Linked DNA regions of Oryctolagus cuniculus. The protein of the gene in region 1 binds, or shares a complex with, the protein of each later gene. Links are inferred from orthologs where the notes say so. Each region holds a gene or a part of one and is shown in the gene's direction. Other genes may lie near its edges. The genes, in order: FLNA, ITGA2B, ITGB2 and FBLIM1.

Evidence for each region.
Region 2: the proteins of FLNA (region 1) and ITGA2B are in contact, whole or in part, in an NMR structure (PDB 7SFT), measured with the Homo sapiens proteins. The link is inferred for Oryctolagus cuniculus from reciprocal best matches to the Homo sapiens genes FLNA and ITGA2B. Residues at the interface, in NP_001104026.1 of Homo sapiens: Thr2263, Gly2267, Ala2268, Gly2269, Gly2270, Leu2271, Ile2273, Ala2274, Val2275, Glu2276, Gly2277, Ser2279, Ile2283, Phe2285, Asp2287, Arg2288, Lys2289, Gly2291, Cys2293, Val2295; in NP_000410.2 of Homo sapiens: Trp1019, Lys1020, Val1021, Gly1022, Phe1023, Phe1024, Lys1025, Arg1026, Asn1027, Arg1028, Pro1029, Pro1030.
Region 3: the proteins of FLNA (region 1) and ITGB2 are in contact, whole or in part, in a crystal structure (PDB 2JF1), measured with the Homo sapiens proteins. The link is inferred for Oryctolagus cuniculus from reciprocal best matches to the Homo sapiens genes FLNA and ITGB2. Residues at the interface, in NP_001104026.1 of Homo sapiens: Val2241, Thr2263, Ala2266, Gly2267, Ala2268, Gly2269, Gly2270, Leu2271, Ala2272, Ile2273, Ala2274, Val2275, Glu2276, Gly2277, Pro2278, Ser2279, Lys2280, Ala2281, Ile2283, Phe2285, Phe2311; in NP_000202.3 of Homo sapiens: Leu753, Phe754, Lys755, Ser756, Ala757, Thr758, Thr759, Thr760, Val761, Met762, Asn763.
Region 4: the proteins of FLNA (region 1) and FBLIM1 are in contact, whole or in part, in a crystal structure (PDB 4P3W), measured with the Homo sapiens proteins. The link is inferred for Oryctolagus cuniculus from reciprocal best matches to the Homo sapiens genes FLNA and FBLIM1. Residues at the interface, in NP_001104026.1 of Homo sapiens: Met2207, Gly2208, Thr2263, Arg2264, Gly2267, Ala2268, Gly2269, Gly2270, Leu2271, Ala2272, Ile2273, Ala2274, Val2275, Glu2276, Gly2277, Pro2278, Ser2279, Lys2280, Ala2281, Ile2283, Phe2285, Cys2293, Glu2306, Phe2311; in NP_001337080.1 of Homo sapiens: Lys7, Arg8, Val9, Ala10, Ser11, Ser12, Val13, Phe14, Ile15, Thr16, Leu17, Ala18, Pro19, Pro20.

The regions. Positions count from the first base shown.
Region 1 is NC_091453.1:132,583,050-132,590,377, reverse strand, and holds part of FLNA (filamin-A), read left to right. Parts: intron 1-1; coding exon 2-119; intron 120-248; coding exon 249-511; intron 512-722; coding exon 723-1,320; intron 1,321-1,419; coding exon 1,420-1,593; intron 1,594-1,669; coding exon 1,670-1,832; intron 1,833-1,912; coding exon 1,913-2,073; intron 2,074-2,160; coding exon 2,161-2,331; intron 2,332-2,692; coding exon 2,693-2,816; intron 2,817-2,903; coding exon 2,904-3,060; intron 3,061-3,652; coding exon 3,653-3,842; intron 3,843-4,000; coding exon 4,001-4,024; intron 4,025-6,209; coding exon 6,210-6,457; intron 6,458-6,569; coding exon 6,570-6,665; intron 6,666-6,824; coding exon 6,825-6,927; intron 6,928-7,030; coding exon 7,031-7,171; intron 7,172-7,277; coding exon 7,278-7,328. UniProt on the Homo sapiens protein: Promotes orthogonal branching of actin filaments and links actin filaments to membrane glycoproteins. Anchors various transmembrane proteins to the actin cytoskeleton and serves as a scaffold for a wide range of cytoplasmic signaling proteins.
Region 2 is NC_091448.1:18,915,448-18,922,775, forward strand, and holds part of ITGA2B (integrin alpha-IIb), read left to right. Parts: intron 1-1,456; coding exon 1,457-1,578; intron 1,579-1,669; coding exon 1,670-1,767; intron 1,768-1,871; coding exon 1,872-2,037; intron 2,038-2,281; coding exon 2,282-2,332; intron 2,333-2,405; coding exon of another isoform or gene 2,406-2,409; coding exon 2,410-2,451; intron 2,452-2,544; coding exon 2,545-2,673; intron 2,674-2,869; coding exon 2,870-2,917; intron 2,918-3,039; coding exon 3,040-3,083; intron 3,084-3,210; coding exon 3,211-3,264; intron 3,265-3,369; coding exon 3,370-3,422; intron 3,423-3,589; coding exon 3,590-3,801; intron 3,802-4,965; coding exon 4,966-5,148; intron 5,149-5,375; coding exon 5,376-5,421; intron 5,422-5,505; coding exon 5,506-5,610; intron 5,611-5,691; coding exon 5,692-5,747; intron 5,748-5,836; coding exon 5,837-5,988; intron 5,989-6,132; coding exon 6,133-6,258; intron 6,259-7,165; coding exon 7,166-7,233; intron 7,234-7,328. UniProt on the Homo sapiens protein: Integrin alpha-IIb/beta-3 is a receptor for fibronectin, fibrinogen, plasminogen, prothrombin, thrombospondin and vitronectin. It recognizes the sequence R-G-D in a wide array of ligands.
Region 3 is NC_091435.1:1,688,205-1,695,999, forward strand, and holds the start of ITGB2 (integrin beta-2), read left to right. Parts: upstream 1-3,454; 5' UTR 3,455-3,609; intron 3,610-7,795.
Region 4 is NC_091438.1:153,855,719-153,863,046, reverse strand, and holds part of FBLIM1 (filamin-binding LIM protein 1), read left to right. Parts: intron 1-4,615; coding exon 4,616-4,794; intron 4,795-5,132; coding exon 5,133-5,250; intron 5,251-6,712; coding exon 6,713-6,882; intron 6,883-7,328. UniProt on the Homo sapiens protein: Serves as an anchoring site for cell-ECM adhesion proteins and filamin-containing actin filaments. Is implicated in cell shape modulation (spreading) and motility.

The DNA.
Region 1 (7,328 bases):
GGGCCCAGTCGGTGTCAATGTCACTTATGGAGGGGATCCCATCCCAAAGAGCCCCTTTTCGGTGGGAGTGTCTCCAAGCCTGGACCTCAGCAAGATCAAGGTGTCTGGCCTGGGAGAGAGTAAGTGCCTGGGACCCTTGTGGAAGTCACCCAAGATCCCTTTCCCCCACCCCACCTGGGGCTCATCCACAGGGCTGCTGGAGCTGGGTATCAGAGCTCTCTCCTTCCCTCCTTTCATCATTTTGCCAGAGGTGGACGTGGGCAAAGACCAGGAGTTCACAGTCAAGTCGAAGGGGGCCGGTGGCCAAGGCAAGGTGGCATCCAAGATCGTGGGCCCCTCGGGCACTGCAGTGCCCTGCAAGGTGGAGCCAGGCCTGGGGGCGGACAACAGCGTGGTGCGCTTTGTTCCCCGTGAGGAGGGGCCCTACGAAGTGGAGGTGACCTATGACGGTGTGCCTGTGCCTGGCAGCCCCTTTCCTCTGGAAGCCGTGGCCCCTACCAAACCCAGCAAGGTAAATAGGGTGTGACGGGTGCTAAGGGTAGAGCTGCTGTGCTCTCTGAGGGCCCAGGAGGGCGTCCTGCTGCTCCAGATTTGTCTTCACCCCTTCTCCTTTTTGTACTCATGACTGATGCGTGGGCTGGCTAATGGGGGCAAAAGGAGGGAGATGGAGGGGTCAGGCTGGAGGTAGCATGGCCTCAGCTCCTGACCCCCTCTTTCCTCAGGTGAAGGCTTTTGGGCCAGGGCTACAGGGGGGCAGTGCTGGCTCCCCAGCCCGCTTCACCATCGATACCAAGGGTGCCGGCACAGGGGGCCTGGGCCTGACGGTGGAGGGCCCCTGCGAGGCACAGCTCGAGTGCCTGGACAATGGGGACGGCACATGCTCCGTGTCCTATGTGCCCACCGAGCCTGGTGACTACAACATCAACATCCTCTTCGCCGACACCCACATCCCTGGCTCCCCATTCAAGGCCCATGTGGTTCCCTGCTTCGATGCATCCAAGGTCAAGTGCTCGGGCCCTGGGCTGGAGCGAGCCACTGCTGGTGAGGTGGGACAGTTCCACGTGGACTGTTCGAGTGCAGGCAGTGCGGAGCTGACCATTGAGATCTGCTCTGAGGCAGGGCTGCCGGCCGAGGTATACATCCAAGACCACGGCGACGGCACGCACACCATCACCTACATTCCTCTCTGCCCGGGGGCCTACACTGTCACCATCAAGTACGGCGGCCAGCCTGTGCCCAACTTTCCCAGCAAGCTGCAGGTGGAGCCTGCAGTGGACACCTCAGGTGTCCAGTGCTATGGGCCTGGCATTGAGGGCCAAGGTGAGGACCCTGCCCTGTGACACACGGTGGGGGTAGAGGGTAGGGGCCAGGGGTCAGGGCCCCTAAAGCCCCATGTCTCCTGCCTGTGTGCCACTGTAGGTGTCTTCCGGGAGGCCACCACCGAGTTCAGTGTGGATGCCCGGGCTCTGACCCAGACTGGAGGGCCACACGTCAAGGCCCGTGTGGCCAACCCCTCAGGCAACCTGACGGAGACCTACGTGCAGGACTGTGGAGACGGCACATACAAAGTGGAGTACACACCTTATGAGGAGGGTACGCACAGGCTGCCTCGGATGGGTGTGGGGGGAGCCAGCGCAGGCTCCTCCTGACCTGGCCTGCCCTCCCCCAGGACTGCACTCTGTAGATGTGACCTATGCTGGCAGCCCTGTGCCCAGCAGCCCCTTCCAGGTGCCTGTGACCGAGGGCTGTGACCCGTCCCGGGTGCGTGTCCACGGGCCGGGCATCCAAAGTGGAACCACCAACAAGCCCAACAAGTTCACCGTGGAAACCAGGTAAGCCAACCACCAGGGACGCAGAGGAGAGCCATGGGCTCAAGACCCTCAGAGAGTGACGGGCTGTCTGTTGGGACCAGGGGAGCTGGCACAGGTGGCCTGGGCCTGGCTGTCGAAGGGCCCTCTGAGGCCAAGATGTCCTGCATGGACAACAAGGACGGCAGCTGCTCAGTGGAGTACATCCCCTATGAGGCCGGCACCTACAGCCTTAATGTCACCTATGGTGGCCACCAAGTGCCAGGTGAGAAGGCAGTGGTCAAGATGGCGGGGACTGCCCGATTTCCCCACGCTGTCTTACGCAGCTGCTGTCCCTTTGCCCAACCCCCAGGAAGTCCCTTCAAGGTCCCTGTGCATGACGTGACAGATGCATCCAAGGTGAAGTGCTCTGGGCCTGGCCTGAGCCCAGGCATGGTCCGTGCCAACCTTCCTCAGTCCTTCCAGGTGGACACAAGCAAGGCTGGGGTGGCGCCACTGCAGGTCAAAGTGCAGGGGCCCAAAGGTGAGTGCTCACCTACCCGGCAGCCAGGGACTCAGCAGGGGGAAGGAACATGGAGGCCCAGCATATGCAGAGTGGAGTCAGGTGTGTGGGCAGGTGGAGTGGGAGACCCTCGGGTTGACAGAGGAGAGCTGGTGGGGAGAGCAGGAGGAGGCAGGACAGATGGGGTAGGAGGGAGGGACAGCAAGGGTCCAAAGTGGCAACCAGAGTGGTGTCTCATGCCACAGGGGTTTGGGGCCGTCCTTGTGGATGGGCAGCGACAAGAGGAGGTCTAGGCCTGGTGCCCTGACCGGGTCAGTGTGGTGGGGGTGGGGGTAGGGGCCCAGGGGGCTGGCTGAGGTTGTGTCCCTTGGACTGGGGTCAGGCCTGGTGGAGCCAGTGGATGTGGTGGACAACGCCGATGGCACCCAGACTGTCAACTACGTGCCCAGCCGAGAAGGGCCCTACAGCATCTCAGTGCTGTATGGGGAAGAGGAGGTGCCCCGGAGGTGAGTCAGGGCCCACCACCCATGGGGAGGGGTCCAGGCTGGATGTCCAGAGCCTGTCTGACCTCTCGCAACACCCTGGCTCCACAGCCCCTTCAAGGTCAAGGTGCTGCCTACACATGATGCCAGCAAGGTGAAGGCCAGTGGCCCTGGACTCAACACCACTGGTGTACCCGCCAGCCTACCTGTGGAGTTCACCATTGATGCAAAGGATGCTGGGGAGGGCCTGCTGGCTGTCCAGATCACGGTGAGCTCACTGGCCTCACAAGCTGGACTGTAGCATGGTGCAGGCAGAGGAGAGGCCAGGCTGGGTCTCCCTAGGGAGTCATCCCAGGGAAGGCAGGGCCGGCCAGCTTCTGCTTTGCCACCATCATGACTACCTGAGGCTGATGCTGGCGGGCACAGGCCTCGTGGAGCACACACCCTCTGCTAACACTGAGGACCTTCCCAAGGCCTCTGGTGCTGCACTTCCCCTCCTGTGCCATTCTCACTGGGAAGATACGAGGAGATCTCCCAGCTGAGCTCCCCTGAGTGCTGGGGCAGACCCTGGTCTCAGGGTGGGAGCCCACAGGGGTCGTGGCAGGGGATTTGGGTAAGGGAGCATGGGCCCAGGGGCCCTGGCCCTGTCTGTCGGCACATGGAGCAGTGTTGAATACTTCTGCAGTTCCATCTAGACTGCCCATGGGGAAGTAAGGATGATGCTGGGTGCAAACAGCCTTTTGGGGCCATAGCTGCTGAGAGGCCTGGAGGCTGTCCCTGTAGCAGTGGTACTTGGCATCCATTCAGGAGGGTGGCTTACCTGGGCCCGGGCCAACACTTCCACGTGCTCTGCCGTGCAGGACCCTGAAGGCAAGCCCAAGAAGACACACATCCAAGACAACCACGATGGAACGTACACAGTGGCCTATGTGCCAGATGTGACGGGCCGCTACACCATCCTCATCAAGTATGGTGGTGATGAGATCCCCTTCTCCCCATACCGTGTCCGGGCCGTGCCCACCGGGGATGCCAGCAAGTGCACGGTCACAGGTGAGCCAGCCCGCCAGCGGCCGCTGTGGCGCTCGGCACGGGGCTTGGGTGTGCCTGTGTGCAAGGGCTCGCTGCTTGGGGCGGCGTGTGGGAGTGGGGGCCGCCCCCTTGAGTGACTCACCTGACCTTTCTCCTTGCTCTCTGCCCTCTCACCTCAGTGTCAATCGGAGGTCACGGGCTAGGTAAGCTGCTTGCTGGGGCCACTCCCAACGCCCCTCCTGCCCAGAGGGCAGCTTCCTTTCCTCTTCCGGTGCTGATTCCCAGGAGAGTTCCAGCTGCAGCTCCAAGCAGGGACAGAGTGGGTGGGGGGGCTGTGCAAGACAAGGCCATGGGCTGGAGGGTTAGGGCCCAGGGAGGCTTCCGGAGCTAAGCATGAACACTCCGGCCCTTCCCCTCTCTGGGCCTCCGTTTCCCCACTGGAGAACTCGGGTTGCAGCTGAGAGCTTTGGGGTGAGGTGCATCCTGAGAGGCACCCCACTTGGGGACTTTGGGGTCTGGGGATCTTGGCACTCTGGGCAAGTACCCAGGGATAGGCAGTGGGCCCTTCCTTCTCACAAGGGCTCCTGCTTGGATTAAGGGGACAAGGGGAGTCCCTAGCTCCGGCCAGATCCGCAGACTCCCATCCCTACCTCCCAGGGGCCTGAGTCCCGGGCCGGGGGAGGTGCATGAGCGGGTGGGGCTGGCTGGTAGTGCAGTAGCACCAGCGTCGACTGCTTGGGTGGCCAGCATGGCGGGGCCCAGCCCAGCCTAGAGCCCCAAAGTGCACTGTGTTGCCCGTCTCCCTCCTTCCCTTCCTCTCCTGTCCCCCTAGCAGTGACGTTATTCAGGCCATCCCCTGGCAGGCACAGAAGTTTGCCTGCCCCAGCCAGGGGCACCTCTAAGAGGGGAGAATGACTTGAGGGCCTCTAGAGGCTGTAGGCCGGCCACTCAGGCAGGGTGGCCAGGGAGCAGGTTAGAGGGAGGCTAGGGTTTTGGAGCGGGGCTAGACAGCCTTGTAGAGTAGACTTTGGGATCGGGGGAGACCTGGTGCATGTGCAGGACTCAGACTAGGGGGTAGGGGAGAGGTTTGCATTAGCCTTAGTTTACGTGGCCCATGTGTGCAGTGTGGAGGCAGGGAGCCCAGCTCAGGGGCTGAAGTCACTTTTGGGTAAGCTGGACGGGTGGCTTGGGCCAGGCCAGTGGCCATGGGATTTCAGGTGGGAGCCCAGCCAGGACAGGGTACTTGGAGAATAGAGTAGCTAAGACCTGCTGATGGGCTGGGAAAGGTGGGAATCGGGGGTAGTTGTGAGGCTGGAGCCCTAGCCATGAGCTGGGTGGTGTGGGGTGCAGGTGAGTGAGGCCTCCCAGGGCAGCAGATAGCCAGCTGTAGAGCCCAGGAGACCCACCTGGGCTGTGGTCAGTCAGCATAGTGCCTAAGCAGGGGGAAGAACCCTTGGCCAGTAGGGGGACTTGGTGGCAGACTGGCCAGGGGTGCCCCCTGAACTTGACCCTCAAGCAAGTTTGGTGCTCCTGGCTGCTTCCTTGGCAGGAGGCCAGGCTACAGGGGTGCTCTCGCTGCCAGGCCTCACAGCCCACAGCTCCCCAAGCCTCCACAGCTGAGCCCCAGATCATAACGTCACTGTACCTCCCCTTTCCTCGGGCACTCTGGGGCCCTAGAGGCTATTCAGCTTCTCTGCCCTTGCAACCCAGTGGTGGTGGCTGTGGCTTGGGCCTCCTGTCCCTGTCCCCCTGGGTGCTGCCACTGCTCTGCCAAACCTGCTGTGCTGCACTGCCTGGGTGCTAACCTGGCTGCCTCCCGCCTCCCTGCTCCCGCCTGCGCCGGGCTGCCTCTCACAGTGAGCCGCTGGTTGAGCGAGCATTCTCAGTTGTCAGGAGACTCCAGTTTCACCTCCAGGCCTGGAGGGGGGTAGGAAGGCAAGTGTCACGTCCCCCCACGCTGCAGCAGGACTCTGCCTCACCGCGTCCACACAGCACTGGGGGCCAGGGCTGGGCCACAGGGGGTCCAGGCAGCCGTGGGCCTGGCTAGAGCGCTGCTGTTTGTCAGCACGGGCCACGATGCCAGTGAGGCCAAGTGGGGCAAGGGAGGGAGGTGGCGGTAGATGCTCATGCCGAGATGGGCCCTTCCTTCTCTTCCTGGGCACCCGAGTGCCCCCGGTCAGGCCTCTCAGGTGTCAGGGCTTGAGGTGGTCAGGAGAAGCCTTCCTGTCTTCTGAGAAAGCACTCGCCATCCCAGCTGAGGGTGGGGCGGGAGGCCTGGCTGTGCTTGGTGGTGGCGTTGAGGCCTGGGGGGCAGCCGGAAGACAGGAGCAGCCCAAGCGCAGAGCTCACGTGCTGGCCTCCCTTCGGGGACCTGCCCTGCCCTATCAGGTGCTGGCATCGGCCCCACCATCCAGATCGGGGAGGAGACGGTGATCACCGTGGACACAAAAGCGGCAGGCAAAGGCAAAGTGACCTGCACGGTGTGCACCCCTGATGGCTCAGAGGTGGACGTGGATGTGGTTGAGAACGAGGACGGCACCTTTGACATCTTCTACACAGCCCCGCAGCCAGGCAAATATGTAATCTGTGTGCGCTTTGGTGGCGAACATGTGCCCAACAGCCCCTTCCAAGTGACGGTAAGGAGGGCCCGGGGGCAGGATGCAGGGGGCTCTTGACAGGTCCAGCCTGGCCCGTCCCCCAGGGCCCCGCTGCGACAACAGACTCTCCAGCTCCCGCTCTGCTCCACAGGCTCTGGCTGGGGAACAGCCCGCGGCACAGCCCCCGTTACGGCCTCAGCAGCTGGCCCCACAGTACACCTATGCCCAGGGTGGCCAGCAGACCTGGGTACGGCAGGGCTCACCACCTCGCGGATCGCCCGGCCCAAAGAGATGTTCAGGGCTGGTGGGCAGGGAGTCCCATGGGCCCCGGCCGCTCTGCCACCTGCGAGGAGGGACCCCCACGTGCCCCCACAGCCACTTACCTGGGCCCCGTGTCTCCATGCAGGCCCCAGAGAGGCCCCTGGTGGGTGTCAACGGGCTGGACGTGACCAGCCTGAGGCCCTTTGACCTCGTCATCCCCTTCACCATCAAGAAGGGCGAGATCACCGGTGAGCATGAGGCGGGAAGGAGCGCGGGAGCCCGGGCGGCCGGGGCGAGCCACTGGGCGGCCCTGACCCAGCTCCGCTGCCCCACTGCCCTGCTGCCCCGCAGGGGAGGTCCGCATGCCCTCAGGCAAGGTGGCACAGCCCTCCATCACTGACAACAAGGACGGCACCGTGACCGTGCGCTATGCGCCCAGCGAGGCTGGCCTGCACGAGATGGACATCCGCTACGACAACATGCACATCCCAGGTGGGCCACCCTGCCTCTGGCCGGCCGCTGCCACCGCCATCTCGCAGAGAGGTGGGGGTGGAGGCACATGAGGCTGCCGTTTGACACGGCCCCCTTCCCGCCTCAGGGAGCCCCCTGCAGTTCTACGTGGATTACGTCAACTGCGGCCACGTCACTG
Region 2 (7,328 bases), on another chromosome or scaffold:
CTTTTCGGCTCCATTTCTCTTATCCCCATCACAGTTATTAGCAATTTGAAAAGAAGCAATCGGTCATTAATGGTTGAATTGATCAGGCTTTGGAATCTGACTACCAAGGTTAGAGTCCTGCCCCCCCCTTTTGTTAGGATTTTTGTTTGTTTATTTTGAAGAGTTACAGAAAGGGGAGAGAACAATCTTCCATCCACTAAGTTCCCTCCCCAAAAGTGGCTGCAGTGGCCAGAGCTGCGCCAGGAGCCAGGAGCTTCTTCCAGGTCTCCTGTGTGGGTGGCAGGGACCCAAACACTTTGGCCAGCTTCTGATACTTTTCCCAGGCCATTAGCAGGGAGCTGGATCAGTAGAGCAGCCAGGACAAACCGACAGCCATTTGGGATGCTGGCATTGCAGGCAGTGGCTCTACCTGCTATGCCACAGTGCCTGCCTACCTGGCTCCTCCTTTTTATACCTGTGTTACCCTGGGCTACTTGTCCTAGTGGACATTGTCCCCTTCCTGAGGTGGTCCCCATTCAATGATCAGTGAAAACTGTTTGGGGGGCAAGGGGTAAGGGTCCACCCTCTTGGTTCAACTCTTTTTAAAAATATATATTTACTTGAAAGGTAGACCAGCAAGGAGAGAGAGGGAGAGACAGACAGAAGTCCTCCATCTGCTGGTTCACTCCCCAAATGGCCGCAAGGGTTGGGCTGGGGCTGAGCCAGGGGCTCGGAACTCCATCTGGTCTCTCATGTGGGTGGCTAGGGCCCAAGGACTGGACCATCGCCCCACTGCCCTCCCCGGCATGTTAGCAGGGAACTGGATCGGAAGCGGAGCAGCCCCCGGGTGTTGACCCCCATCTGACATTGGGTCTGAATCTCAGCTCCACACCTGTTGCTGCTGCTTTCCCCCTCCTTTCCACGATTAGTGGTCCCATGGGCACTACGTAGTAAACATCCTGGGTGCCAAAAAATAAAGTGTTCTTCCTCAATGAACTTGCTCCCTGTTGGACTGGGACCGTGCTAAACGCCCCGTATACGTGCAGTACATGGGTTGGCGTTCTGCCTGACTGACACGTGGCAGAGCTCAGGTAAAACTACCCCGGCGGGACCCTCCGCTCCCACGCACCCCCGCCCCACTTCGCGTGCCTCCCTCAGCACTCAAACCCCCTCCCAAGGAGGGACCTGGTTCCCAGGAGCACGCGAGACCCTGGTGGTGGCTGGTGGTCGGACGGTGGAGACGCCGACAGCGTAGGCGATACTTTTCTCACGGATACCGAACCCCCGGTGTTCAAATCAAACCGTGGGATCAGTTCCAGCTTCACTCCCGACTCGCTGGGTTACTTTAGGCATGGGATTTCCCTCTCTCACAATAAAGTGTGAGGTCCCATGTAGGAGAGCGATGCGGTGCCCGCCGGCTACACGGCCCCGGCGCGCTCCCAGCACCGCGCCGCGCTCACCCTGCTTTCCCGCGCAGCGTGGCCATCGTGGTGGGCGCCCCGCGGACCCTGGGCCTCGGCCAAAAGGAGACGGGCGGCGTGTTCCTGTGCCCCTGGAAGGCCGAGGGCAGCCCGTGCAGCCTGCTGTCCTTCAACCTCAGTGAGTCCCCAGCAAGGGTGGAAGGGAGGAGCGAGGGGGAGGTTCACGGCCGGATGGGACTCAACGCCCCACCCCTTCTTGTGCCCTCCAGGCGACGAGTACCGAAAAACGAGCTCCCAACTTTTCCAAACCTTCAGGGCCCGGCAAGGCCTGGGGGCGTCGGTCGTCAGCTGGAATGACATCATTGTGGTGGGCGCCCCGAGACCGGCACGGGGCGGTCGGGGAGGGGATGCGCTGGGGACGGGGGAGCCCGAGCCTCGCACCCTTCCCCACTCTCCCGTGGCCCTGTCCAGGCCTGCGCCCCCTGGCAGCAATGGAACGTCCTGGAAAAGGCAGCGGAGGCCGAGAAGACGCCGGTCGGCGGCTGCTTCGTGGCTCATCTGCCTAGCGGGAGGCGCGCGGAGTACTCGCCCTGTCGTGGCAACACCATGAGCCACGTTTACGAAAAAATGTATCTTAGTAAGGGCCACCCTCCATCTAGTTCCGCCCACTCGAGACTGCATAGCCCCGCCCCTAACCTCCGCCAGCCCGGCTTCCAATCTGGCCTTAGCGTCTGCCCAGCTCCTGGTCCCGCCCCTCCGACTGCAGCCACGCCTCCTTATTACCCTGTCCCCGCCCCCTCGCGCTTGCGCACTGCCCCGCGGCGCTGCAGGCGCGGAGGCTCGCTTCTTCCCCCGCGGGTTCACTGAGCCGTCTCCCCTAGGAGACTTACGCTCCTGCGAAGCGGGCTTCAGCTCCGTGATCACCCAGGCAAGTTGGAGGCAAAAGCATGGTGGGGGCAGTCCACGAACCGGGCGCTCTTCTCACCTCCAGGGCTTCCCTTTCAGGAAGGAGAGCTGGTGCTGGGGGCTCCGGGCGGCTATTATTACTTAGGTACGTGCGAGTCGGTGCGACCCCCGCCCCTCTCACGGCCCCGGGAGACCCCTGGCGTCTGGGCCCCCACACTCCCTGCCCCTCGCGCCCTAGGTTTCCTGGTCCGGGCTCCAATTGCCAACATCATCTCGAGTTACAGCCCCGGCGTCCTCTTGTGGACCGTGCCCAATCAGAACTTCACCTTCGACTACAGCAACCGAAAGTACTTCGACGGCTACCGAGGTAATCTGGAGCCCCAGCACCCCAGGGGTCACCGCCCGCCCCGCCGACCACGTCCTGCCCCTCGGGAGCCTCCGCAGCGCCTACAGCGCCCCGCCTCTGGACGGCTCTGCGCGGTGCCGGGTTCGGACTGGGTGGCCTCGGAGTCCCCTCTTTTCTCGCCCCCAGCACCTCCTGCTAAGATTTAATTTGTCCCCAGGGTACTCGGTGGCCGTGGGCGAATTCGATGGGGATCTCAGCACAACAGGTAAGAAGTCCACCTGCTCAGTGGCGGGGTTGGGAGCCCAGCCCCGGGAGAAGCTGCGCGCGGAGCGGGTGGGAGGTAGCAGGCTCTAGAGATGCCGCCCGCTGAGCCTGGCTCTCCCCCAGAGTATGTCCTCGGTGCCCCCACTTGGAGCTGGACCATGGGAGCGGTGAGTGCCCTCCACCACACCACTGGCATCAATGTCCCCAGTCCTCAGGCTCACGGTCCCCCCGCCCCGACTTCCTGCCCTTCTCACGGGGAGCAAACGTAACACGCTCCATGCACTGTCCATGCAGGTGGAAATTTTGGATTCCTACTTCTACAGGCTGCACCGGCTGCAGGGCGAGCAGGTGGGGGCCGGGCCGCGCTGGGACTGGCTGAAGACAGGAAACTAAGACCACAGAATATCTGGGGGGTTGGGAGGTACAAACGAAGGTGCCCTCGTCTCCTTGCAGATGGCTTCGTATTTTGGGCACTCTGTGGCGGTCACTGATGTCAACGGGGATGGGTGAGGAGGGGGACGCCCCACCCCTACCCCGTTGGTTCCCCAGTTGCCTCTGCCAGCCCTGCCTTGGGCACGACCGCCCCAGGAGCTGAGAGCCAGCGTGGGCAAGATTTGGCCCTAGCCCCCAGCCGCCACTAGCCAGCCCCAGCTGACCACCCCTCTGCCTGCAGGAGGCATGACCTACTGGTGGGCGCTCCTCTGTTCATGGCGAGCCAGGCAGACCACAAGCTGGCCGAGGTGGGGCGCGTGTACTTGTTCCTGCAGCTGCAAGGCCCCCACCTGCTGGGCGCACCCAGCCTCCTGCTGACCGGCACGCAGCTCTACGGGCGGTTTGGCTCTGCGATCGCGCCCCTGGGCGACCTCAACAGGGATGGCTACAATGGTGAGGAGAGAGGAGCCCCCACTTGCTGCAGGAGGGTTAACAGCCTCAACAGAAAGCCTGGGCTTGACCCGAGGGCAGGGGGAGCCAGGAGGGGCTTCAGTCAGGAAAGATGAATTCAATGTGGAGGAAAATGGAAGGGGTTGAACAGGAGAAAATGTGCCATGGGGAGCAGGGGGTGGAGCCAGAGGAGTCATGGGCGGAGCCAGAGGGACCAGGGGGTGGAGCCAGAGGAACCAGGGGCGGAGCCAGGGGAGCCAGAAGAGGTTCCTGTAATGCACAGGGGGGACACAGCCCGGTGCCGGGTGAAGAGAGACACCTGTTCCAATGTCAAACACGAACAGGGTAAAGGGAGCTGGTGGCCCACGGTGGGGCCACTTCCCTTTTGAGAAGTAGGAGATGCGGTCCCCTGTGAGAAGCCAAGGGCTGGGCGCTGCAAGGATGGAGGAAGCTAGAAACAGGTGCTGAGCAGACTGGGAGGAGTGAGCAGCACCTGGCCAGGCAGCGGGGCAGCCTCCAGGGCACTGGGGTCAGGGGCTCATGGTGCCCCGAGCTGGGTTCACCCAGGGCTGGCAGTGGGACAAGCCGGCTCAGCCTATGGCAAGGTCAGAGAAATCAGTGAAGACAGTTCAAAGAAAGAGCTGCGTAGGAAACATGCTGTCAACAAAATCGGGAGGCAAAGGGTAGACAGGTGCAAGGCACGTATCAAAGACGCGCTCGTGTCAGACACGAAGAGTTCTCAGAGGTGCCACTCTGACAACAGGTGCGCTTTCAAAGGTGAGTGAGAGCCTGTGGGTGTGCCTGAGTCTGTGGGGGGGAAGCGCAGGGCCCCAGGGGAAGTTGGGGGCCTGTATTTAATAAGCTTCAGCTACTCCATATTCTGGAGCCCACACTTTTTATCTAAAATTAGTAGAATAATGCCTCATTTTCAGGATTAAATGAAATCTTGTTGATCTCTTTTCCTCGGCGGTTAGTGGAGGCTGGTGCTGTTTTCCTAACAGTGCTGCCTGACCAGCCTCTCTCCCACTTGACCGCAACTTCGGCCTCACACTGGGCAGCCCTCTCTTGGTCCTCCGGGGCCGGCCCAGAGAGGGAGCTCAGGAAGCCGTGCCCCTGGTGGGGGGGGGGGGGTTGAATAACAAGCAGCCATGCCTGTTACCTTTCCAGATGTTGCGGTGGCTGCGCCCTACGGGGGTCCGAGCGGTCGGGGCCAAGTGCTGGTGTACCTGGGGCAGAGCGAGGGGCTGAACCCACATCCCTCCCAGGTCCTGGACAGCCCCTTCCCCGCGGGCTCTGCCTTTGGCTTCTGTCTGAGAGGTGCCACAGACATCGATGACAACGGATACCCAGGTGCCTTTGCTGCAAATGCCGAGAGACAGCCAGGAGGCCCGGGCCTGACCTGGTGCCCGCCCCACTGGGGGCTCTGACCGCTTTGTATGGCTGGGAAGCCTGGGGTGGAGGGGAGCAGGTCAGACTTCCTGGGGCGGGGGAGGTGGTGTGCGGAGCCCTAAGGGAGATGAGAAGCCGCCCCCATGCCCTCTCTAACTGCCAATCCCGACCCCTCCTGCAATGTTTAGACCTGCTGGTAGGAGCTTACGGGGCGGACAAGGTGGTTGTGTACAGGTGAGCGCTGACTCTGGGGGCGGGGTGCGGGAGGAGGCCAACCCCAAAGGGGCCGCAACGGCAGGCGCCCCTCTGTCCCGCTAGAGCCCAGCCGGTGGTCATGGCCGATGTCCAGCTGCTGGTGCAAGATTCGCTGAACCCTGCTGTGAAGAACTGTGTCCTGCACCAGACCAACACCCCCGTGAGCTGGTGAGGAGGCGCGGGCGCGGCAGCCGGGACCTGTGGTCCCTGGGCCGGCCCTCGCCCCTGAACCCACTCACGTCTTTGCAGCTTCAACATCCAGATGTGCGTGGGGGTCACCGGGCACAACATTCCCCAGAGGCTGTGTGAGTGGCTCGGGAGGCGCAGGGGGAGGAGGGCCCAGGCTCCCCCGCGGCTGGCCAGGTGGTCTTGACCGGGCCTGCTTGTCCTGCAGACCTGCAGGCTGAGCTGCAGCTGGACCGCCAGAAGCCCCGCCAGGGCCGGCGAGTGCTGTTGCTGGGCTCTCAGCAGGCGAGCACCACCCTGAGCATGGACCTGGGCGGGAGGCAGAGCCGCCTCTGCCACAACACCACGGCCTTCCTTCGCGTACGCACAGGCAGGGGTTCGGCTGGGCTGGGCGTGTGCACCGCATTCACCAGCCCTGGGGCACTGGGCTGGGTGCTGTGGGTCCAGGGGTCATCAGCAGGATGTGCATGGAGCGAGATTGCCTGACTCCTGTCTCCCTCCTAGGATGAGGCGGACTTCCGGGACAAGCTGAGCCCCATCGTGCTCAGCTTCAACGTGTCGCTGCAGCCCAAGGAGGCTGGCGTGGCCCCTGCCGTGGTCCTGCACGGGAACACCCACGTGCAGGAGCAGGTGGGACGGGTGGGAGTGGTACAGGGCCCCTGACAGAAAGCCTAGGTTGGGGTAGTGTCCAAATCATAATGTGTACCCCCAGACCTTGACGTCACCCCGATATCTGGCTTACCAGTTAAGATGCCTGCATCCCATATCCGAGCGCCTGGGTTCAATTCCCAGTGCCAGTGCCTGATCCCAGCTTTTTGCCAATACAGACCCTGGGAGAGAGTGAAGGTGGCTCAAGTCACCCACCTGGGAGGCTCAGGTTGAATTCTCAGCTTTGCTGGCTGCTGTGGGCGTTTGGGGAGTGAACCAGTGGAGCTCTGTCTGCCTGTTTCTCTCTCTCTCTGCCTCTCAAATAATTCAAGTGTTTGTGTATGTGCAGAGTATGTTTATATGTTTATGATATATACAGAGAGAGGCTAGCGAAAATCCCAATATCCCCTACACCTTGAGGTCAACTCCAAACTTTTTCAGCTTCAGATCTTTTTTTGTAAGATTTGCTTTATTTATTTGAAAGGCAGAGTGATGGAGAGAGGGAGAGAAAGAGAGAGAAAGGATATTCCATCCACTGGTTCACCCCCCAAATGGCCACAGAAAACGGGCTGTGCCAGGAGCCTGGAACTCCATCCTGGTCTCCCATGTGGGTGGGGGGGACCAAGCACTTGGGCCATCTTCTGTTGCCTTCTCCGGGGCATTAGCAGGGAGCTGCATTGGAAGTGGACCAGCGGGGACTTGAACCAGCGCTGTGATCTGGGGTGCCGGCATCCCAAGTGGTAGCTTCACCTGCTGTGCCACAACACTGGTCCCTTATTCCCTAAGCCCTGATAAGAATCCCAAGCCCATTGTTGTATTCCTAACCCTGGTGTGGCCCCCAAGCCTCAGAGGACCCCAGTTACCCACACCTCTCAATGTGCCCCCCTAGACCCGCATCATCCTGGAGTGTGGGGAAGATGACGTGTGCGTGCCCCAGCTTCACCTCACGGCCAGCCTGTAAGGGGACCTCCCACTCTGCTCCTCCCCGGCCCTCTCGGCCCCCTGCCGCCTCTCCTCCTCCCTGGCTTCACTCCTCTCCCTCCCCCCCACAG
Region 3 (7,795 bases), on another chromosome or scaffold:
GCCCGTGGTGCTGTGGGGGCTGGTGAAGTGGCACAGGGACACCGCTTGGCTGATGTGCAGGAAACGGTCCTCGCCAGGGTCGGCTCCCTCGTCCCGCTGCAGCGCCTCGCCGCGGGCTTCACGGAAATGGGACTAGAAAGCTGCCCAGCTCCCTGGCGCGCACCTCCCGCGCCCAGCTTGGGGTCAGTATCTGATATCGGCTGCCCCCACATGTCCCTGTGGCCTCGTGCCATGGGCAGGAACCCGGGAGCTGACCCCAGCGTTGCCCCGTGAAGCAGGAGGGTCGGCAGCCTTGCAGCAATTCTGGGTCACTGGTCGTCACCCACTGTGCCCACAGCTAACATTTCGTGTTAAATTCAACCAGTGCCTTGGAAGCGGAGCAGCCGGGATTCTAACCTGCACCCATATGGGATGCCGGCACTGCAGGTCGGGCCTTTAACACGCAGCGTCACAGCGCCGGCCCCTTCTCCTTGATTTTTAACAGATGAAAGTTTACAGGAAGCACACTGAAGCCCGCTGCACCTGTCTCCCAGGTCCCCCGTCTTCTCTGTCTTCAGGGGTGCCGGCAGGCTGCCCGCGGGGCTCTGAGTCTGTGGATTCCGCTCTGGGAGTCACGTTCTGTGGCCCTCGGCGTGTGTTTTAACTGGACACAGCAACGGCACATCTTGCTGAGACAGCGTGACGTTCCAGCGTGTGTGTGCTGGTCACTGTCAGTCAGGGGAGCGGGCACATCACTGCCTCCCACAGCGCCGCTCTGTATGGGAACCTGGAAATCCAGGCTACGTCTGACGTCATTGTCATCAGCCATCGTCACCCTACTGTGCTAGAGGACATTGCAAGCTCGAGCTCCTGGGGCCGGCACTGCTGCAGCGGGGTAAGCCTCGGCGCTTGTGGTCACCGGTTCGAGTCCCAGCTGCTCCACGCAGGTGCTGGGCATTTGCTGTAACTGCTACCCGGTCAGTCTCTGGTTTTGTCACTTTGTGTCTGAGTTTGGTCTGCACCATTAAACATATTCAGACCTGCTTGTGGTTGTCGCCCGGGTCTCAGCATCGGCGTGCACAGGCCAGAGAGGGCAGGTGGCGGTCCCTACACTTGCCACGGCTCGGATCGGCGCGGTGCTCGGAGTCAGAGATGCTCGCTGTGTTTGTGCGGATGTGTGACCACTGTCGTCCTCGTGGGCTGCGTCTCTCCCTGTCCAGGGCAGCCTGTCTGTGGGGGGCTGCTCCTGCAGGCTTTACCGGCTGGCGTCCGCCAGCCTTCAGAACCGGCACCTCCGTTCCATCAGCGTCCGCCGTTGGTCTGTTCTCTTACAGTTTCCCCGGGAGAGAACTTGCTTTCCTTCTAATCGCGACAGAACGTGCAGAACCCGAGACGCCCGGGCCACGGTGACTCAGGGCGTTTGTCTCGGTGCGGCAAGATTCGAGCTGTTGTGCAACCTTCACCGCCATCTGGCTCCAGAACTTTCCATCTTGCGAGACTGAAACTCCACCCACTGAGCCACCTGACACTTCCTGTAAGAGATTTCTTAAAAGTTTGCTGTGGAGAATAAACGTGTCCCTGCCACCAGTGTCAGCCGTCACCAGCGTCCGCTGTCTCGCTGGCCTCTCGCCCCCGCCCTGGAAGCAGACCCTGACCGTCACGCCGTGTCGTCTGCACAGGCAGGGAGGCTCTCAAAGGCACACACCCAAAAGGAGTCTCGCCATGGCGCCCACAGTCCCCGCACTGCGATTGGTTGATGTGTCTCTCAATCTCCTAGTGGGTGGGGTCCTCCCTCCGCCTCCAGTCTTGGCAGGCTCTGGAGGGAGTGGGGGGTTCTCCAGCCTGGGTTTTGTTGATCGCATCCTGGGCCCAGCGAGCTCTTAGCTGGGTCCGAAGGCCTGATCTGATTCAAGTTCAGGACGGTGATGCCGCCAGCATCGTCACACAGCAGGCCAAGCCCAGCTTGTGGCGCCAGATCCCGATCTGAGTCCTGGCTGCTCCAATCCAGCCTCCTGCTGATGCATCTGGAGAAAGCAGGCGATGGCCACGTGCTCAGGCTCCTGCCGCCCACATGGGCATCCCAGATCGAGTTCTGGCTCCGGGCTTTGGCTTGGGGAGTGAACCAGCAGATGGAAGATCTCCGTCACTCTGCCTTTCTAATAAATAAATAAATCTTTAAAAAAAAGAGAGAGAGAGAGAGAGAGAGTACTAACACGCTCTCCCTGTGTTGTTATTCCATCGAGGTGACCGACCCGTGGCAAGGCGTGGGCTCTCAGGGTCTCGAGATGAGCAGCCAGTGCTGTCCAGCGGAGGCCTGGCTGTCGGTGGGCGGGACTGAGGGTGACGCCCACACCCTGTCCCCCTTCTCTGCCATTTTCTAGAATAATCTATGAGGAGGAGACGGTCGCAGCAGAGAACATGATGTTGCAGCTTGTTTGCTCTTTATTTTTATAAAGAGCAAGAATTTACTGATTTGAAGAGGGAGCCCAAAGCCCACCCACAGGACCTGTGACCCCTCCAGAGCCTCTGACGCTGTCCCAGCATCCCACTGTGCTTCTCACATTTCCTGTGTGTTCTGCATCCCTTGAATTTAAAAAAATTATTTTTTCTATTTTCAGATGTATTTTTCCTATTTATATTATTTTAAAACAGTTTTATTTTTTTTACTTGTTGAGAGACAGAGAGAGATGGGTTCACTCCCTAAATACCTGCTGCTGCCAGGGCTGAGCTGGGGCCGGGCCAGGCTTGACGCCGGGAGCGGGATCTCCACCGGGCCTCCCTTGTGTGGGAGGCAGGACCCGAGAGCTTGAACCATCGCTGCTGCCTCCCAGCATCTGCGTGGTAGGAAGCTGGAATCAGGCGACGGAGCCAGGCCGCACCCCCTCCCACCCCAGTGCTCCCACGGGGATGTGTTAACTGCCCCCACCCCCTGACATCCTGTTTCCCACCTGAGGGCACCCTGGACCCGTGCTCTGCAGCCCACCAGGCCCCGGGACAGGCGTGTGACACGTGTGATGCTTCTTGCCTGCTTCTTGGCTTGACTTCTCTTGGGCTTGGTGCTTTCCCGTCTGCCTCTGCTGGCAGCGGCAGAGAGCCTGGGGCCTCCTCTGCTCCACCTGGGCCGGGCCCTGCCCCTCCCCCTCCCAGAGCCTGGGTCCTGGCGGGCTGTCTGCGGCACATCTCCCCGCCTGTGCGCTGTGCCCTGCTTGGCCTCCATGCTGGGTGGATGCCGTCACACGCCCGCTGCTGTGGCCCCCTGAGCCACTGCCTGGACCCTGGCACCTTGCTTGGGCCTGCTCGGGGTCTCCTGTCCGAGTGGCTCAGTCTCCCAGGCTCAGGGCTCATGTGTAAATCCACGGACCCAGCTCCTGCCCACTGCCCTCCTTGACAGGCTGGGAGTCCCCCGGTGCCGCCATTGGCCCCGTCCCCACTGCCCACAGGAGCGCACCCCGTCGGCCCCATGTGGGGCAACCCGCCACACGTCACCCCGCCCCCTCGGAGGAACTGGCTGAGAACAGGAAGCGCAGACCTCACGGTGGGGCCGCTGTGTCCCAGCCCCGACCACAGAGCCAGCCTGCTGAACGGCCGGCGAAGCCACCTCCAGCCCTGCCGGGACGCACGGAGCCGAGGGTGAGTGCAGGGCCCCTCCGTGTCAGGGGGGCTGGAAGAGGGGAGTACCCCATCCCTGGCTTCGTCCCGGGGCAGCTGCTCTCTTTCCCAAAGGAAGCCCCTCTAGGACCTGGAGTGGCCCCGGCGGCCGTGTCTGTGGCCCTGGCCGGGGCTGACCAGCAGCAGGGGGTCCCAGCCGTCTGCTCTGGGCACCCCTTTCTCCAAGACCCAGCGAGAGGAGGGGCAGAGCCACAGGGAGCACCGGCCGGGGAGCACATGGGAGCACGTGCCAGGGCCTCCGGTTCCAGGGTGAGCCAGACCTTGGCTGGGCCCCAAGGACGCGGGGGCCCCGAGGCCCAGCACACCAGGGGGAGGCTCAGGCAGAGGGTTTGCAAGCCCCCCAGGCTGGGGGATGCTGGGTAAGGGTGTGGCCATCAGCACTGGGGCCTGAGGCCTTTCCCCCTAGCGGCCGCGCCGCCTCTCCCAGCCAGAGTCAGCGCCCTGCTGTCTGCGTGTCCCCACCACCAGCTGTGGCGTGTGTGTGTGTCCGTGTGGTGTGTGTGTTGTAAGTGTGGTCTGTGGTGTGTGTGATGTGTGTGTCTGTGTGGTGTGTGTTATGGCACGTATGTGCATTTCTGTGTGGTATATGTGGGGTCTGTGGTATGGTGTGAGTGTGTCTTGTGATATGTGTGTGTCTTGTATGGTGTGGGTGGTGTGTGTGTGTCTGGTGTATGTGATGTGTGCCTGTCTGTGTGGTGTGTGTGATGTGTGCTGTGTGGTGCATGTGATGTGTACTGTCTGTGTGGTGCGTGTTATGTGTGTGTGTCTGTGTGATGTGTGCTGTCTGTGTGGTGTGTGCGATGTGTATGTGTCTGTGAGATGTGTGCTGTCTGTGTGGTGTGTGTGATATGTGCCTGGCTGTGTGTCTGTGTGATGTGTGTGTGTCTGGTGTATGTGATGTGTGCCTGTGTGTGGTGTGTGTGATGTATGTGTGTCTGTGTGATGTGTGCTGTCTGTGTGATGTGTGTGTGTCTGGTGTATGTGATGTGTGCCTGTGTGTGGTGTGTGTGATGTATGTGTGTCTGTGTGATGTGTGCCTGTGTGTGGTGTGTGTGATGTGTGTGTGTCTGGTGTATGTGATGTGTGCCTGTGTGTGGTGTGTGTGATGTATGTGTGTCTGTGTGATGTGTGCCTGTGTGTGGTGTGTGTGATGTGTGTGTGTCTGGTGTATGTGATGTGTGCCTGTGTGTGGTGTGTGTGATGTATGTGTGTCTGTGTGATGTGTACTGTCTGTGTGGTGTATGTGATATGTGCCTGTGGGTGGTGTGTGTGATGTGTGCTGTCTGTGTGGTGTGTGTGATGTGTGTGTCTGTGTGATGTGTGCTGTCTGTGTGGTGTGTGTGATATGTGCCTATCTGTGTGGTGTGTGTGTCTGTGTGATGTGTGTGTTTCCGGTGTATGTGTTGTGTGCCTGTGTGTGGTGTGTGTGATATGTGTGGTGTGTGTGATATGTGCCTGGCTGTGTGTGGTGTGTGATGTGTGTGTCTGTGTGATGTGTGTGTGTCTGGTGTATGTGATGTGTGCCTGTGTGTGGTGTGTGTGATGTGTGTGTCTGTGTGATGTGTGCTGTCTGTGTGGTATGTGTGATATGTGCCTGTGTGTGGTATGTGTGATGTGTGTGTGTCTGTGTGATGTGTGTGTGTCTAGTCTATGTGATGTGTGCCTGTGTGTGTGTGATGTGTGTGTATCTGTGTGATGTGTGCTGTCTGTGTTGTGTATGTGATGTGTGCCTGTGTGTGGTGTGTGTGATTTGTGTTGTCTGTGTGGTGTGTGTGATGTGTGTGTCTGTGTGATGTGTGCTGTCTGTGTGGTGTGTGTGTGATGTGTGCCTGTCTGTGTGGTGTGTGTGTCTGTGTGATGTGTGTGTTTCCGGTGTATGTGTTGTGTGCCTGTGTGTGGTGTGTGTGATATGTGCCTGGCTGTGTGGTGTGTGTGATGTATGTGTCTGTGTGATTTGTGTTGTCTGTGTGATGTGTGTGTGTCTGGTGTATGTGATGTGTGCCTGTGTGTGGTGTGTGTGATGTGTGTGTTTGCGTGATGTGTGTTGTCTGTGTGATGTGTGTGTGTCTGGTGTGTGTGATGTGTGCCTTGTGTGGTATGTGATGTGTGTGTCTGTGTGATGTGTGCTGTCTGTGTGATGTGTGTGTGTCTGGTGTATGTGATGTGTGCCTGTGTGTGCTGTGTGATGTGTGTGTCTGTGTGATGTGTGCTGTCTGTGTGGTGTGTGTGATGTGTGCTTGTGGGTGGTGTGTGTGATGTGTGTATCTGTGTGATGTGTGCTGTCTGTGTGGTGTGTGTGATGTGTGTATCTGTGTGATGTGTGCTGTCTGTGTGGTGTGTGTGTGATGTGTGCCTATCTGTGTGGTGTGTGTGTCTGTGTGATGTGTGCTGTCTGTGTGATGTGTGCTGTCTGTGTGGTGTGTGTGATGTGTGTATCTGTGTGATGTGTGCTGTCTGTGTGGTGTGTGTGTGATGTGTGCCTATCTGTGTGGTGTGTGTGTCTGTGTGATGTGTGCTGTCTGTGTGATGTGTGTGTGTCTGGTGTATGTGATGTGTGCCTGTGTGTGTTGTGTGTGATGTGTGTGTCTGTGTGATGTGTGTGTGTCTGGTGTATGTGATATGTGCCTGTGTGTGGTGTGTGTGATGTGTGTGTCTGTGTGATGTGTGTGTGTCTGGTGTATGTGATGTGTGCCTGTGTGTGCTGTGTGGTGTGTGTGTCTGTGTGATGTGTGCTGTCTGTGTGATGTGTGTGTGTCTGGTGTATGTGATGTGTGCCTGTGTGTGCTGTGTGATGTGTGTGTCTGTGTGGTGTGTGCTGTCTGTGTGGTGTGTGTGCAGTGCAGTCCCCTGGAGGCAGCCGTCACTGCTCTGGCCCAGTGGGTGGTGCTATTTTGTGAGCAGGTGCTACGTGTGATGCTGCCCCCCACAGCCCGGGCTCAGCGCCCCCGCCTCACCTCACCCATGACCAGGCCTCTGGGGGCCGTCCCAAGGTCTCTGGCAGGTGGGGGAGGGTTGAAAGGATCCCAGGGACCCTGCAGTCTGGGGCTAGCTCCCACTCCCCCTTTCATCCTGCCTGAGCTGGCCCTGCCCAGACAACCAGCACCCCTGGCTCTCCCGGCTGGTGGCCCCACCTCGCAGGTGTCGTTTACGTGGAAGACGCCAGCATTCGGGGCTGGGGGGAGGGACACACTGCAGTTGTCACCCAGACATTTCATGGAGGCAGAGACCCCCGGACAGGAAGCTGTGCCATCCATGGGTCTGCCTGCACCCCATCTGGAAGGCGTAGTTGGCCAGGCCTCCTGGGACGCAATGTCCCCATCTGTGAAGAGTGAGGGGCAGGCTGGCCTGTTGTGTATGGCCCAGTTGCCCCATAAGCAAAGACAAAGCTCAGAGCTCACTTCCCGGGGCAGAACCTGGCTAGGCCCTGGCGGGACGCACAGGTGATAGCCTGGGTGGGCAGCCTGGAGCCGGGCGGCCCCGGGTGACAGGGCCCTGCCTCCCTGGGCACATGTCCCTGAGGCTGTGCAGGAGCCACGGTTCTGCCCGGGGCCAGGGCCCGGTGTCCAGCCCCCACTTGCGGATGGGGTGCCAGCCGCTGCAGAGGGTTGAGTGGCACACGTGTCCCTGCTGTGGGCACAGCCAGACCACTGAGGAGCCCCATCTTGGGGTGCCCCCTCCCAGGCTCTGGGCGGTCTCAGGTGACGCCCGGGTGCGAACTGCATCCACTCTCTGTTTCCCTGGGCCAAGCTGTCCTGAACTGGGAGCGCTGCCCTCTCTCCCACCCTGGGCCTGAGGCTTGGAGGCTCTGGGTGAGACCCGGCTTACAGGAGGTATACTCCCCGTCCTGGTCGGGCCCTGTGCTCCGGGAGACCCGTTCACTGACTGCTGTCACTCACAGCGGTCGCTGGGCCCAGGCCCAGTCTTGACACGCGGGCCTTGCATGCAGCTGGCCTGGAGGGAGTTCTCGTCTGGCTGCACCTGCCCATGTCCCAGAACCAGATCCTTGTCCCGTCTTCCTGCACCTGTGGGGGCCAGCGCAGCTCAGGCCAGGCCAGAGGCCCCTACAGCCAGCCCCAGTCTCCAAACCTTCTCCCGAGGCAGGGCTGGCTGCTGATGGGATGGGGTACAGTCCACTCCAGTGAGTGAG
Region 4 (7,328 bases), on another chromosome or scaffold:
ATCTATTGTATAATGATCAGATCATGGTGATCGACCTGTCTGTCGTTTCAAATACTTATCATTTCTTTTCAAAATTCTCTCTACTAGTTATTTGAAAACGGTTCTTAGCTACTGTGTTGTGAAACAAGTTCCCACGCAGCCGTGCCCCGTGCCGGTTCGCTGCGGGTGATCTGGACAGTGGAATGGGGCGGGAGCTACGGTGCTCGGCCAGGGGCGCCAAGGCCGAGCCTTCGGGGCTAGCGCAGGAGTTCCCCAGGTGTGGTTAGCAGAAATGCGAATTCTTGGCGGGGAGAGGGCCTCCAGGTGTAACCTGCTTCGGGGCCAGGACCAAGGTGGCCGCTCGCTTCATCTGTGCCCTCAGCCCTCGGGGGTGCGGGCAGGGCATTGTCCTTACTGAAGGGCGAGAAACCAGACTCCGCCTGGAGGGCCTGGTCTCATGGCGCGTAAGGCTTCCGGAACTTTCCATCTGCGTTCCCACGCGTCTGGGCCAGGCTGAGCTTGCTGTGCCTGCCTGGGGAGGTGGGTGGTGCACGCCCGTGACCCTTCTCGCTGGGACTGGGGTGGGCAGAGGGTTTCCACAGGGCCCTCCTGATCCCATGGAGCCTGCAGGGCTGGCGCTGGATGTGGTGGTTCTTGGATGGAGGAGAGACACGGGTGCCGAGACAGGAGCTGTGGGAGCCCCACCCTACCTCCTCCCGCCTGTACCCACAGAATAGCCTTAGGGTCCCAGCACTCAGCTCGCTGGAGCAGGCTTTAGACTGTGCTAGGAATGGAAGTGATTTTGTGCCTGTGTGTGTGTGCTGTGTGCCTGTGTGGTGTGTGCATGTGTGTGTGGTGGGTACATGCATCTGCTGGTGTGTGGTGTGTGCATACATGTGCTGGTGTGTAGTATGTGCACGCATGTGCTGGTGTGTGGTGTGTGCACACATGTGCTGGTGTGTGTGTCCTGCACACATGCGTGTGTCCATGTGTGTGGTCTTAGGAAGCCCCAGACAACACACAGAAGCAAATCCAGCAGGAGAAAGCCTGTGCGCCCACGTCTGGTCCCAGCGCTTATCAAGGTCCAGACGTGCCTGTCTCGTCTGTTCCTGTGTGCGTGTGGATTGCTATGAAGGCACCCAGTCACCCTGGCAGTTCTGCCCCACGTTGGCTAAGGTCCATCTCCAAATACAGCCATTGCCTTACACGGCCACAGGGCCGGGCGGCGTCCACTGAACTGAGAATCCAAGGATGCCTTTGATTATCTGATACTCAACCCACAGCCTTCACTGCTTGTATGAAAACGCCTGGTAGCGGCTGGATCGTATCACAGTGACCGGGAGCCTTTGTTACACGTATTTGTGTACTGGTGAGACAGAGCTCTCGTCACTGGTTCACTCCCCGAACACTGACAGCCAACCTGGCTGGCCAAGGTTGGGAGCGGGGAACTCAACCCAAGTCAGCCACGTGTGCCATCCACACTGCCTCCCAGGGCGCGCACTTGCAGGAAGCTGGAGTTGGGAGCAGAGGCGGGGACCACAGCCTGGGAGTCTGGTTCAGGATGCAGGCGTCCCAACCCGCGTTTCAGCTGCCAGGCCGATGCCCGCCTCTGGGCTGTGCTGGTTTGTTTTTGTTTTTGTTTTTCTTCTACTTGAAAGAATGACAGAGAGAGAGAGAGAGAGAGCGAGCTCTCATATCCAGTTATTCATTCCCTACCCAAATGCTCACTGGAGCCAGGACTGTGCCAGGCTGACCCAGGAGCCCACAACTCCATCCAGGTCTCATCTATGGGTGCCAGGGGCCCTTGAGCACGGTCTGCCGTGTCCAGGGTGCACCAGCAGGGATCTGGACCGGTAGCAGAGCAGCTGGACCTCGGACCAGCACTTCCATGCAGGATGTGGGCCTCACAGCAGTACTTAACCCTCCGTGCCACACGCCCACTCCCCCATCCGTGTTTTGAGCTAATTTAGTGGAATGTTTAGCTTTTCCTCAGCTCCAAAGTGGGAAGGATTAAATGAGAGGATTAATCCTTTGAATTAGGGTCCAGATAAGGTCTATACCAGCCATCCAATAAAAATAGAATGCCAGTCACAAATGCTAGCAACACTTGTAACTTAAATTTTCTAGTGTCCACATTGAAAAAAAGGAAAAAGAAATAAGTGATATTAATTTTAACCTTAGAGATTATAAAACCCAGTGTACTGAGATATCATTTCAGCATGTAACCATTATAAAAATTACTTTTTAAAATATTTACTTAGGCCGGCGCCGCGGCTCACTAGGCTAATCCTCCGCCTGCGGTGCCGGAACCCCAGGTTCTAGTCCTGGTCGGGGCGCCGGATTCTGTCCTGGTTGCCCCTCTTCCAGTCCAGCTCTCTGCTGTGGCCCGGGAAGGCAGTGAAGGATGGCCCAAGTGCTTGGGTCCTGCACCCGTGTGGGAGACCTGGAAGAAGTTGCTGGCCCCTGGCTTCGGATCAGTGCAGCATGCCAGCCGTAGCGCCCATTTGGGGAGTGAACCAATGGAAGGAAGACCTTTCTCTCTGTCTCTCTCTCACTGTCTAACTCTGCCTGTCAAAATAAATCAATTAATTAATTTAAAAAAATTGACTTAGGAGCTGGCATTGTGACCCAGCAGGTTAAGCTACCGCCTGCAGTGCCAGCATCGTCCGAGGCCAGGCTGTCCTCCCCTCCAGCTCCCTGCTAACGCTGCCTGGGGAAGCAGAGGCAGAGCGCTCTTCCACCTGCTGGTCCACGCTCCAGATGGCCACAACGGCTGGGGCTGTTTGGAATTGCATCGGGGCCTCCCACCTGGGTGCAGGGGCCCAAGCACTTGGGCCGCGCTCTGCTCTCCCAGGCACAGCAGCAGGGAGCTGGATCGGCAGCAGAACAGCCAGGATCCCCACGGGCGCTCACGTGGGAGGCCGGAGTCCCAGGCAGTGGCCTCACCCCTGTGCCACGACACTGGCCTGTGGATGTGCGTGTTTTAAGTGGCCGTTTTGCTCTGAAATCTAGGGGAGACCCCTCCCCCACCTCGTGCCATTGGCTCCTTGCAGAAGTGGGGTCCGTTTTGATGGGGTACCCCACGCATGTCCCAGATTTGCCCCTTCTCTCCCCTGCCCTCTCATCCAGCTCCCCTGTGGCTCCACGCTTGTCACAGATGGACCTTTGGAGATGTGACTGGATTGAGGCGGGTCTTTTTGGTTTGTTCATTCAGGGTTTGTGCTGGGGGTAAGAACATGACATAGGTGGTGCCCCTGTCACTTCCTGTAGAGTCACACGAACCAGGAGACCCCGAAGTCTGCTGAGCCTCATCAGTGGGTGCTGGCGATGGCAGCTGACCCCTCCTTAGAAAGCTCCCATCCCCCCTCCACCTTTCAGTCCCTGACTCTGGTCGGAGGTGGAGCACACCCCTCTCATCCCCTGGGGGCCTGTCAGACTCCACAGGTGGTGGCCCCACCCAGGGCGTCTGATTGTGCAGGGCTGGGGCATGCTCCCGGGTATGGCAGGTGCTGCTGGCCAGAGCCACGCGGGAGAGGTTGGTCAGGCCTGCGCGTCCACAGGGGCCTGGCCACACCCACAGGGGAGGGCTGTCGGGGAGCTTGCTCAGCTGCTATTTGTGGCCCTGGCAGGTGCCTCTCCTGTCCGTCATCTCAGATATTGCTTACCCCTGAGTGCCTGGTGCCCATTTTCCAACTAAGCAGATTACACTTGGCGAGGTCCAGTCTGTTGCCTAAGGACACCCAGCAAGTCAGAGGCAGAGGGGCCAGCGCTGTGGTGCAGCCTGCAGTGTCAGCATCCCACATGTGCCCTGGTTCAAGTCCCGACTGCTCCTCTCCGATCCAGCTCCCTGCTGATGTGCCTGGGAAAGCAGAAGAAGATGACCCCTGCACCCCTGTGGGAACCCAGATTGTGGCCATGTGGGGAGTGAAGCAAATAAAAGATGTATTTATTTATTTGAAAGCCAGACTTAGAGAGAGAGATCTTCTATCCGCAGTTTGTTTTACTCCCCAAATGGCTGCAATGGCTGGGGCTGGGCCAGGCTGGACCTAGGAGCCAGGAGCTTCTCCCAGGTCTCCCGCATGGGTGCAGGGGCCCAAGCACTTGAGTCATCTTCCGCTGCTTTCCCAGGTGCATTAGCAGGGAGCTGGATCGAAAGCAGAGCATGGGGCCAGTGTTGTGGCGTAGCAGGTAAAGCCGCCACCTGCAGTGCCAGCATCCCATGTGGGCGCTGGTTCAAGTCCTGGCTGTTCTGATCCAGCTCTCTGCTGTGGCCTGGGAAAGCAGTGGAGGATGGCCCAGGTCCTTGGACCCTGCACCTGTGTGGGAGATCCGGAGGAAGCTCCTGGCTCCTGGCTCCAGAGCTTGCAGCCATTTGTGGTAGCAGATGGAAGACTCTCTCTCTCTCTCTCTCTCTCTGCCTCTGCCTCTCTCTAATTCTGCCTTTCAAATAAATAAACATTAAAAAAAAAAAAAAGAAAAGAAAGAAAGTAGAGCAGCCGGGACTCGAAGCCTGGCCCGTATGGGACGCCCACGTTGCTTGGTGGTGGCAGAGTCCGAGACGGCACCTGGTCTGGCTGGGTTAGGGCTGCTCTGTCCACCTGCAGGGACGCCAGCTGACCCTCTGCCTTCCTCGCAGAGCGTGCTCCTCCTCCACCCGCACTGGATGCCCAGAACCCTCTGGCCGACCTGGACCTCCCGCCGCCGCCGCCCCCTCCTGTGTACCTGCCCCCTCCTCCTGAGGAGGCCCCTGGTCCGCTGGGGGCATCACTCATTTCCGACTTGGAGCAGCTGCACCTGCCCCCACCCCCACCACAGGTACCTCCAGACCCCCGGGGTGGGGGATGGGAGGCTGAGCCTGGAGGTGGTCTGGTCCCTCCTGCTCAATCCCAAGGGACTGCCACGCCCCGCTCTGCTCTATAGACCTCTGCAGCGCCAGGCAGGTCCCGGCCCAGGGCCGCATTCCCTGGCGTGGAAGGCGGAGCTTTGACTGCTTGACCTCAGCTGCCACTGTCCCCTGCCTGCTGAGTGACTTGCTTCTGGGGCCTCAGTTACCTGCTGTTCAATGGGAATGATTGTGTCCAGTGCCCCCAGAGGAGGCAGAGCCTGGAAGGGCTGTGTGGGGTCCCTGCTGACACCACTCTGCGTCCTCACAGGCTCTGGTGGAGGGACCCCCGGTCCAAACTCGGCCTGGTCAGCTCAGGCCCTCGGAAGAGGAGCTGCCACCTCCCCCGGAAGAACCTGCTGGGCTCCCTGAGAGAGAGACGTCCACAGGTAAGGGCCCAGGGCCGGCAGGATTCCGGGGTGGTCCCCAGGGGCCCTCGTGGGAACTGGGAGGGCAGAGACCCCCTGCCTGGCCCAGCTCACGTCTTAGGCTGGGCGTTTGAGTTGTGCACCCATTGCGTTTTTGTTGCCAGAACCTTCTTCCCTTTATGACTAAAATCCACTTAAGTATTCCTCTGCGCTTTGCTGTGATGGCAGAAATGCCTTGAATTTTTTCCCACGACTTGTTCACGTCCTAGTGGCCTCGCACAATGCGAACTGCAAAGCCTGTCACCCAGCGTCCCCCGGGGCCACCTCTGTTAATGTCTTGGGCATCCAGAGTTCTGTCTGCATCAGCAAATACCACCGTGTGTACCTGCGTGCCCTCCCCTGCTGTGGAGAGAGCCTGCTTCAACATGCTTGAGACCGGAAGTGTTTTGCATTTGGGATCGGAGGGAGATTTGGGAATACTTGCGTGTGCATGCTGAGCTGTCTTGGGATGGGACCCAAGTCCCAACACGGGATTCAGTCAGTGTGTTCGGTGCACCTGCCCTGGGATGAGGCTTCAGCCCCGTGCTCGGCGTTCTGGGTTTTGGATCGGTTGAGATGTCTTTGATTGGAGATGCTCTGGGCGCGAGCTGGCCTGCTTCCTCGGGCGGCACAGCGCAGTGGAAGTGGCCGAGTGGCCGCCGCCCCTTCTCTCCGGCTGCGGCGAGCTCCTCCCCAGGGACGGATACTGCGGTGGCCTCCTGGTGTCACAGGTCGCCTTGCTCTCCTGTCATTGTGCCCACGTGCGGATGTATGGGAAATGATTTGCTGAGACAGGAAAGGGCAGGTGCATTTGTGAGTTTGGTGTTGTTAGCCGACTGCCCTCATGAGCCATCTGGGCCTGAACTCGCTCCTGCCCCTGTCTCCCCCTCCCCCGGACCCCCCCCCCCCAGCCTCTGCAGAGCCTGCCTTGCTTGGGGGGGGTGCCAGTAAGGAGGACTCCGTGAGCCCTGGGCCAGCTCAGGAGACCGAGTCTTCCCCTCAGCTGCGTTGCCAACACTCTCCTGAGTTGGTCACTTGTGTGATGGCTTTCGTCGTCCGTAGACGCCCGATTTTGGCGTAGCCGACCATGGCAGGCCTTCCTCTGCCGGTGTCCGGCTTGTGTGTCATAGTTAGGCTTGCCCTCCTCCCGAGTCACAGCCGGATTCTCCGTGGTTGTATTCGTCCCCCCTAGACCTCGGGTGAGTTTAGAATTTCCGGGTGGGGGTGTCGCCGCGGAGCCCGCCCTCCATTCCAGTGCAGGTGACGGCCACTTGTCCTGCCGCTGCGTCCTGCTGTCCCGACGTCAGCCTTCCAAAGGCCGTTTCCTTTCTAATTCTCCTTGTGACCCTCTGCGTTCATCACATGAGCACCTCCTGGGGGCTCGAGGCCAAGCCCTGGGCACTGCGGGCGTGTCTGGTACCAGCCCGTGTCTCCTGTACCCCAGACATCTGCGCCTTCTGCCACAAGACCGTGTCCCCCCGCGAGCTGGCCGTGGAGGCCATGAAGAGGCAGTACCATGCCCAGTGCTTCACGTGCCGCACCTGCCGCCGCCAGCTGGCCGGCCAGAGCTTCTACCAGCAGGACGGGCGGCCCCTCTGCGAGGCCTGCTACCAGGTAACCCTACAGCTGCCCCCTGGCACCGGGACCTGCACTGGGCACACGAAGATGCTCTGTTGTTTCATTCCTGGGGGGCGGGGCGGGGAGGCAGTGTTGGCCCATTTCACAGAAGAGGGAGTTGGGAGCATGGCCAAGTTCCCTGTGGCTGCTGTAGCAAATTGGCCCTTGGTGACTGCGACAGCTCGCATCAATTTTCTCAAGTTCTGGAAACTACAAGTCAAGAGCAAGGTGTTAGGCCAGTGCCGCGGTTCACTAGGCTAATTCTCCGCCTGCGGCGCCAGCACCCCGGGTTCTAGTCCTGGTTAGGGCGCCAGGTTCTGTCCAGGTTGCCCCTCTTCCAGGCCAGCTCTCTGCTGTGGCCCAGGAGTGCAGTGGAGGATGGCCCAAGTCCTTGGGCCCTGCACCCCATGGGAGACCAGGAGAAGCACCTGGCTCCTGGCTTC